2 linked regions of the Lytechinus pictus genome follow. The protein of the gene in region 2 binds, or shares a complex with, the protein of the main gene of each other region. Links are inferred from orthologs where the notes say so. Each region holds a gene or a part of one and is shown on either strand. Other genes may lie near its edges. The genes, in order: RNA polymerase II-associated factor 1 homolog and RNA polymerase-associated protein RTF1 homolog.

The links.
Region 1: RNA polymerase-associated protein RTF1 homolog (region 2) and RNA polymerase II-associated factor 1 homolog share a complex: the UniProt entries of both Caenorhabditis elegans proteins name them as parts of the PAF1 complex. The link is inferred for Lytechinus pictus from reciprocal best matches to the Caenorhabditis elegans genes rtfo-1 and pafo-1.

What each region holds. Positions count from the first base shown.
Region 1 is NC_087251.1:47,770,394-47,774,316, forward strand, and holds the start of RNA polymerase II-associated factor 1 homolog, read right to left. Parts: upstream 2,944-3,923; 5' UTR 2,822-2,943; coding exon 2,775-2,821; intron 1-2,774. UniProt on the Caenorhabditis elegans protein: Component of the PAF1 complex which is a multifunctional complex involved in transcription initiation via genetic interactions with TATA-binding proteins, elongation and transcription-coupled histone modification.
Region 2 is NC_087251.1:44,622,147-44,626,069, forward strand, and holds the start of RNA polymerase-associated protein RTF1 homolog, read right to left. Parts: upstream 2,927-3,923; 5' UTR 1,680-2,926; coding exon 1,599-1,679; intron 1-1,598. UniProt on the Caenorhabditis elegans protein: Component of the PAF1 complex which is a multifunctional complex involved in transcription initiation via genetic interactions with TATA-binding proteins, elongation and transcription-coupled histone modification.

The sequences.
Region 1 (3,923 bases), about 3.1 Mb from region 2:
TCCTCAATTACTTCGTCGGGAGATGCTTCTTTTATATTTCTTCTTGGATATCAAAAGTTAATTTCTCAAGATAGTAATAAATTGATTTGAAAACGCTAGCTCCCCAAAACATTTTAACAACATGTTCCGAATCATCGCGCGTGCTTGCGAATTCTTCTACATTTTAATTGCACTTGCGACTTTAAGATGATGCGTCGTACGAGATCAAGAGATCATTTCAAATAATTTTAAATCGCTAGCACCTAAAAAATATACTTATAAAAGATGTCCCGCCGATCGTTCATTAACCTGTGATCTATGATAATTATTTTCATTTTATTTTCCTTTGCAACTTTGCTGGGAAGATGCGTCTTTCGTTTAACTTTCGAATAAAAATCACTTGGTTTATTTATAGCAGTAACACCTCAAAACCCCTTTAAAACATGTTCCAAACGATCGCGCATGTTGGCGACTTCCATTCCAATGCATTCGTCTTTGTGACTTTGTCAGGAATATGCGCGCGACCGCAAATAAAATTTTGATGTTTTCCTTTGTTTTTAGACATCGCCGATTCGATTTTCGAAGCTTAACTGCCAATCCGATTTTTGATCTGATGTTTTATCCGATTTACAACATTATCAGAAATTATTAAATAAATCCTCAGAAACGACGGTTATTCCTGTCTATTAAATGTCCGTATTACCAGGGCTCGACACTAGCACTTGTCCGACGGTCCCAGACTGGTAAAAATCGCTGTCGGGCCTGTAGATTTTCAGAAATAGCCAGATTTACTGGTCCGACATGACCAGTAAAAAACTCATTGTCGGGCCAGTAATTTTTCAAAAAAAAGCAAGATTTATGGCTCCGACATGACCAGGAATAAAAACCATTGTTTAGCCAGTAACTTTTCCAGAAATGGTCATATTCACTGGTCCAACATTAACATAAAAAATATTCCATGACTCAAATTGCAAACCATTTTCCTCCCGTTAATTTCTGTCATTCACACACAATATACACACAGAATGAATTGCATGCAATTTTTACAAGGGGACTAGTATCTAGTATTATACAGTTTAGTGCACATGTACAGCCAGCCACACAGCCCACATGGTAAATTTTCTACTGGGCTGCACGAATGAAGCTTGGCTAACGTCTGGCAGAAATCTCTCACAGAACTGTCAAAATTCACATTCACACTAATGAAAAGCTCTTATAATGTCCATATTTCCTAAAAATTGGGGTAACTCTGTCATTTGTAAGCAGTAAAAGGAGAAATTTTCACTTCTGTTTTAGTTCAAACAGATCGGGTTTCGAGTGATATCGTCTGAATACATGATAGCCCCACATATGCATTTGTGTGTGTGTTGATACACTCGGTTTCTTCCGTCATAGGCATAGCTATATTTTAATTGAGCAAAAAAGAAAGTGATAATTTATTTATGATAGTTTTAGCTTTCTTCCTCAGTTTTCTTACTATCTTTCTTTCCTCCTTTCTTTTCAATCTCTCTTCGTTTCTTCCCTCTATTCTTTCATTTTTTTATTAATGTCTTTCTTTTTTAATTTTCCTTTTTTCTTTGTCTTTTGTTCTTTCATTCTTTCTGTCCTTTAAAAAAATATTTTTCTCTTTCTTTCTTTTTGATTTCTTTCTTTCTTTAATTCTTGAGTCCATCCATCCTATATTTATATCTTCTTTCTTTCTTTCCTTCCTTCTTTTTACCCTTTCTTTCCTTCATTCTTTTTTACTCTCTTTCTTCCATCCATCCTTTCTTTACCCTTTCTTGTTCTTTATATCTTCCTTCTTTAAGCCCTTTCTCTCTCTTTCATTCATTCCATCCTTTGTCTTTTGTTCTTTCTTTCTTTTTTCCATCTTTCCTTTTACCTTTTCTTTCTTTTTTACTGCTTGCTTCCTTTCTTCTTTCCTTCATTCCTTCCTTTCTTTGTCTTTTGGTCTTTTTTTCTTCCTTTCATCTATTTTTTACCTTTTTTATATTGCTTGTTTGCTTCCTTTTTTCCTTCATTCTTTTTTCCTATCTCTCATTTTACCTTTACTTTATTTCTTCCTTAATTTCTTTCTTCCTTCTTTCAATCCTTCGTTTATTTTTCCTTCCTTCCTCTCATTTTACCCTTTCTTTTTGTATTGCTTCTTTCCTTCATTACTTTCTGTCTTTTATTCTTTCTTTCTTTATTGCTTGCTTCATTTCTTTCCTTTCTTCCTTTTTTCTTTCGTTCTTTCTTTATTTTTGCTCTTTCTTTCCTTCCTTTACTGTCTTTAGTTCTTTCCTTTCTTCACATCTATCCTTTCGCTTTCTTTACCTTTTCTTTTTTTCTTCCTTTCTTTTAATTATTCTCTCTTTCTTTGCTTGTTTGTTTCTGTTCTGTCTTTCATTCCTTCATTTTTTTTTTTGGGGGGGGGAGTAACAGGAAAGGGCAGCAAAATAAACTTGCACCTTTTCTTAATTAATGTTTTAATTTTTTGGGACCAGTAAATAATGGAAAAACTGGGTATCTACTGCCCTGGTCCGACATGAATAGGTTGGACCAGTAGAAAAAAAGGGTTAGTGTGGAGCAATGGATTACACGGACGAGTCCTGGGATCCGGCCCGCCGTACGGTATACGGTAGGTACCTACGTACCTGTACTAGCTGTACGGTAGGCCGTGGCGCGGGCGCGATAGCGTGGCCGTTGCGTTGGCCGATTTGAGCAAAACTTGAGGGCCTTGGCGCAGGCCAGAATACTTGGCCATGGTTTGTAACTTTGCATAATCAATTAGTAAAAATAACTAATATACATACTTCCGATCTCTGTCCTTTCTTTCTCCACTCTGTATTGTCGGCGGCATTTCGATTTAATGAGCAATAAAAGGGAAGAAAACCGACAGTAGATTTTGGGTTGGTGCAAACAAAAAAACATAGCACATGAAAATTGAACGATACACTGATTGTGCGATGTCCTCGAGTAAGCAAAAAAAAAAGCATTAATTACTCCCTCCTTGACAAATTACACATTTTCTTGTGTTTTGCAAACAAAATTAAACATCCTGACGAGACTGTTAAAAGATAATAATCAAGGAACAGATCAGATCAAAATAATATGAAATTCAGGGAAGAAAAAATTCTAATTAAGAAAATACAGGTATAATACAAAATCATTCCGTAAACAGTGGCGTAACAGGCGGGGGGGCCGCGGGGGCAAGCTGCCCCCCCTGGCGGATTTCACCGGGAAAAGAAAAGAAAAACGGGAAAAAGAAAAAAAGGAGGGAGAAAGAAAGAAAGGAAAAGGGGAAGGAAAGGGGAAAAGGAAAGGAGGAAAGGGAAAGGGAAAAGTGAAAAGAAAACGAAGAAAATCAGAAAAAGCAGGAAAATGTACGAAAGAAAATCAAAGAAGAACATTTGAGAAAGAACAAATCATTCCGAAATAGGCCTATGTAATGCAATAGCACGGTGGGCAATGAATTAAAAGATGACAAAATGGCAAACAATAGCGGGAAATGAAGGTAATGTTATTAGTCAAAAGCTAATGGAAAACAAAGAAAAGGGACAAGAAAAAAAATAATAACATGACCGGGCTGCCGATGATTGAAATTAAAGAGCGCATAGGCGGATCCAGGGGGGGGGGGGCCGAGGGGCCCGCCCCCCCCCCCCCCCCCTATTGGCGGAGCAAAAAAGAAGAAAAGGACAGAAAGAAAAAAGGGAGGGAAAAGAGAGGAGAAAAAAGAAGAGGAGGAAGACGAGTTAATAAAATAAGATGAGGGAAAGACTTGAAAAATAAAAAGAATCTTTCATGTCACTATATAAAATTTTCGCTCGCGCTTCGCGCTCGCATTGCCTGTTAGGTGATTTTCATATCTTGTTCAATATGGAGTTCAAATATCAAGTTTGGAATTCAATATACACAACATATTTCACCTCGGAAATCGAACTTTCATTATTTTGTGTGATTTA
Region 2 (3,923 bases):
TCCCTAGGAAATCCATAATTAAAGGACAAGTCCACCCCAACAAAACAATGAATAGAATAAAAAGAGAAAAATCCAACTAGCATAACGCTGACAATTTCATCAAAATCGGATGTAAAATAAGAAAGTTATGATATTTTTAAGTTTCGCTTAATTTCACAAAACAGTTATATGCACATACCGGTTGGTATGCAAATGAGGGAACTGATGACGTCACTCACTCACTATTTCTTTTGTATTTCATGACATGAAATACAAAATATTCTAATTTTCTCCGCATTGTCCTGTGGAACAAAGTTTTATTTCTCCCTGGAAATGTGGAATTACCATTGTCTAACATTTTATGGTTCAGTCAAGTTGGTCCTTATTGTCAAATCTGTAAATTTGAAATATTGTATAATTCAAACAATAAAAAACAAAAGAAATAGTGAGTGACATCATCGATTCTCTCATTTGCATGTGACTAAATTGTGCATGCAACTACTTAGTGAAAAATAACCGAAACTTTAAAATGTCATGACTTTCTTATTTTACATCCGATTTTGATGAAATTTTCAGCATTATGCTTGTCTGATTTTTCTCTATCAATTCAAATCAACATTTTTCTGAGGTGGACTTGACCTTTAAAGCTAGAAATCACGTAAATTTGTTGGATTTTATTTATCTATATAGGGAAAAATCCATCTGTGTTTACATGTGCCGCTTTAATAGGCAAGTATGGGGGAGGGTTTCAAGGCTTCGTGATGAAAAGTATATCTATGTAAAAATATTTTTAAATATCATCATGGAGTCCTCAAGGCTAGGTAAATACACCAATCATGCATTATTTTTAGCTATTAACTGGGTTACAATTAAAAATCTTGCAATCTGATGATTGCATCACTGCATAATATCACATATATGTGTAGACATATATCACAACTATATTATCTGACAGTAATATTACAAATAATACCCATCACCATGGGAATGAACAAGGTAGCTTCATAAAGTTCATTTGTATTACAGTTTTAACACAAAAAGGTTTTTTTTTTTAGAAATTGCAAGAAAAAATTGCTGATGGTGATGCCCCCACCAGCCACCTTAATTGATTGCCGTCGTGTCTACTTAATCATAGACCTACGTCAAAGAAGAAAAAAATCAAGCAATATTATTAATGTGCAAACATTCACTCTCACTCTCAGTCTCACTCTTGGCAGAGAATCCAAAGACTGCATATTATTTACGACCAACATGTGCATGGTCATGGATGGGTCATGGCCCATGCCATGCCATTAATTATTTCAATGTCTGCCTGATGACAAACTGATTTTGCTCAACGAATTTAACTTAAGTTTTTGCGATTGTTTTCTGTGCAAAACAAGCTAAGAAAATGCCAGAAGCAACCCGTCAGCAAATTTTCTTGCAGTTCCATTCCTATATTCCTGAAATTTAGTGACATCAAAATTCAAACACTCACTTACTCAGTCTCAGCTAAACTTAATATTCTCAGAAACACACACTCACTGCATACTGCACTGCATGCAGTGCAAATAAATGTGCAACTATCTATCTGTGTCAGTGTCATGTCTGTCTGTGTGTAAAGTGAATGGAGAAATTACCTCTTCCAGATCCGATTCATTTTCCGATGCAGAACTGTCTGAATTTATCACTGCTCTGCTTGGTTTCTTACGTTTCGACATGGCGCTTGGGTCTTTCACTTTAATGGGTAGAATCGGGACTCAAATCGATGAAGTTCTTGCTTTTTAGGGCATTTTGTAGAGAGAGACCACGACTGAGATGAGTTCCCTTTTTTTCTTGTTTTACTTTTTTGCTAAACGCACGCACACGCGTGCAATACGTACGTACATCATGTAGGCTAGCTAGACGTACATGGCCGCGTATCGTTGCGATTTTAGCTGATAAGTTTTAAAACGGTACCATTACTAACCAATGTGCACACGCACGAAACAAGCACACGAAAATAAATGACAAATATTGTATGGTACTTTCATATAAGCAAATCGTGATTCTGAACATTTGGCATAATTACTCCGGCTGACTGAGAATGGGGGGGGGGGGGTGATTCCAAAGCACTGGCGTAGATCTTTAGATGGTGTGGGGTGGGGTTCCGCGACCAAGAAAAAAAAGAGAGAAAATGCGAAACATTTTTTTCAACTTTTTTAGATTACGCCCAGGCCATTATACGTCACCATAAAAAAATATTTTCTCATGGTTTGCTCGCTTCTCTCGCTCTTGATTTTAAAAAAATGTCCGATGCGCCATCAGTTATTGCTCCTCATTTTTTCTCTCCTGCGGGAACCACAGAATCTCCTGATTACCTCGATCTTCTTATAGGGGCGGGGGCGCGCGGTGGCGAGAAATCACCCCCCTCCCGCTGTTTGCACCATGAATGCAAATTAATACTTTTTCCTATATAGCATAAGGCTGAAGGTCTTTTATTACACGCAATCGCGCTTGGTCAACGTTATGAATTAAAGAAGTGTTGTTTTTCTCCAAAAATAAAGGCTTGACGTGAAATGACTAATTCCTTACTATAGTCACGAATGGCCAAGATAATTGGAAGTATATATATATATAGGCCATAGTTTTATTTCCCCATCATGCACTCATTGATATCCGATTTTTTTGTTGTCTATTAACATGGAAGATAAAGCCTATAAGGAAATCGATGCCGTGGTGATGAGAAACCAAAAGAAGGCTATAGGGCCTACTTGATTACAACAACGGCTGGGGGAGGGGGTGGGGGCGGAAAAAAATGAAATAAATTATTTCTATTATAAAGCCCGGAAGAACTTGACTGCACAAGACACTGATTTGATTATCATTGAATTAACAAACGAGCCATTTAGCGACCGAAGAAAAATAGATTCCCTTTGCAAAATATAGTGACCTTTACATTAATTTTGGTACATAAGAAACACGACTCATTGATATAGGCTCTTGCGGCCAGCAAAGCGACAAAAGGCTCAACGCAACACAGCTCATACAGGCTCGATCCCTGCTGCGGCACTCCGTCCATATAGCATGAATTAAAATAAACTGCTTTCAAAAGGCCTGTAAGTTTATACCTGGCCTAGCCTAACAGGATATCAATCTGGTGCCGGGGGGGGGGGGGCACTAGCTTCCATTGACGAGTGCATGGATACCATGCGCCACCATGTCCGGGTCTCGAAATAAAAGCCTTATTTTGAAAATGCACCAGGCCTTAATTTGGCGTGTAAATCCCTACCCTTAACAAGTATTGGAAACAAAACGATATCTTGGCAAGTATTTCCTGAATTGAACCCCCAAACAAGTACAACGATATTTTGATTATTATGACGTCGGTTTTACCTTTACCTACATCATTGGGTTTATGACCCCACCTCCCACACACCGCCACACACCGCGCAATCGTACTCTAAACACACAACGTTAGCCTAGTGTAGCGGTTGGGGAAAAAAGTAAATCCTTTATATAACAGTTTTTTTTAAAATTATTTTTGTGTTTTTGCCACCCTTATTACGTTACGTAACTTTGTAACGTGCCCTATCTTGAAAAAGACACCCCTTTTACGTGTTTTATAGTCGCGCATGGTATCTATTCATGCACTTCCCCATATTTTTGATGCCATATGTTCACAAAAAATTAATTTTATCATAACTACCCCACGAGACACTTCACTTCGCAGCGAAGACCTCTTTGTGTGAATAGCTTTGCACTTGTTCTGTAATTATGTTTAGATCAATATGATTTCGACCTATTTGTTCCTTCTCTTTTTTCTTTCCTGTATATAAACGCATAAATGAATAAGTCGATTATATTTTCTTCATTTCCGTGGGGATCCACACTTTACAAGCTTTGCTTTTTAGTGGACCCCCCTCATTTCCATTTATGCTCAATATTATACTGTTTTTTTTTTTTTTACGAAGTAAGAATACTCG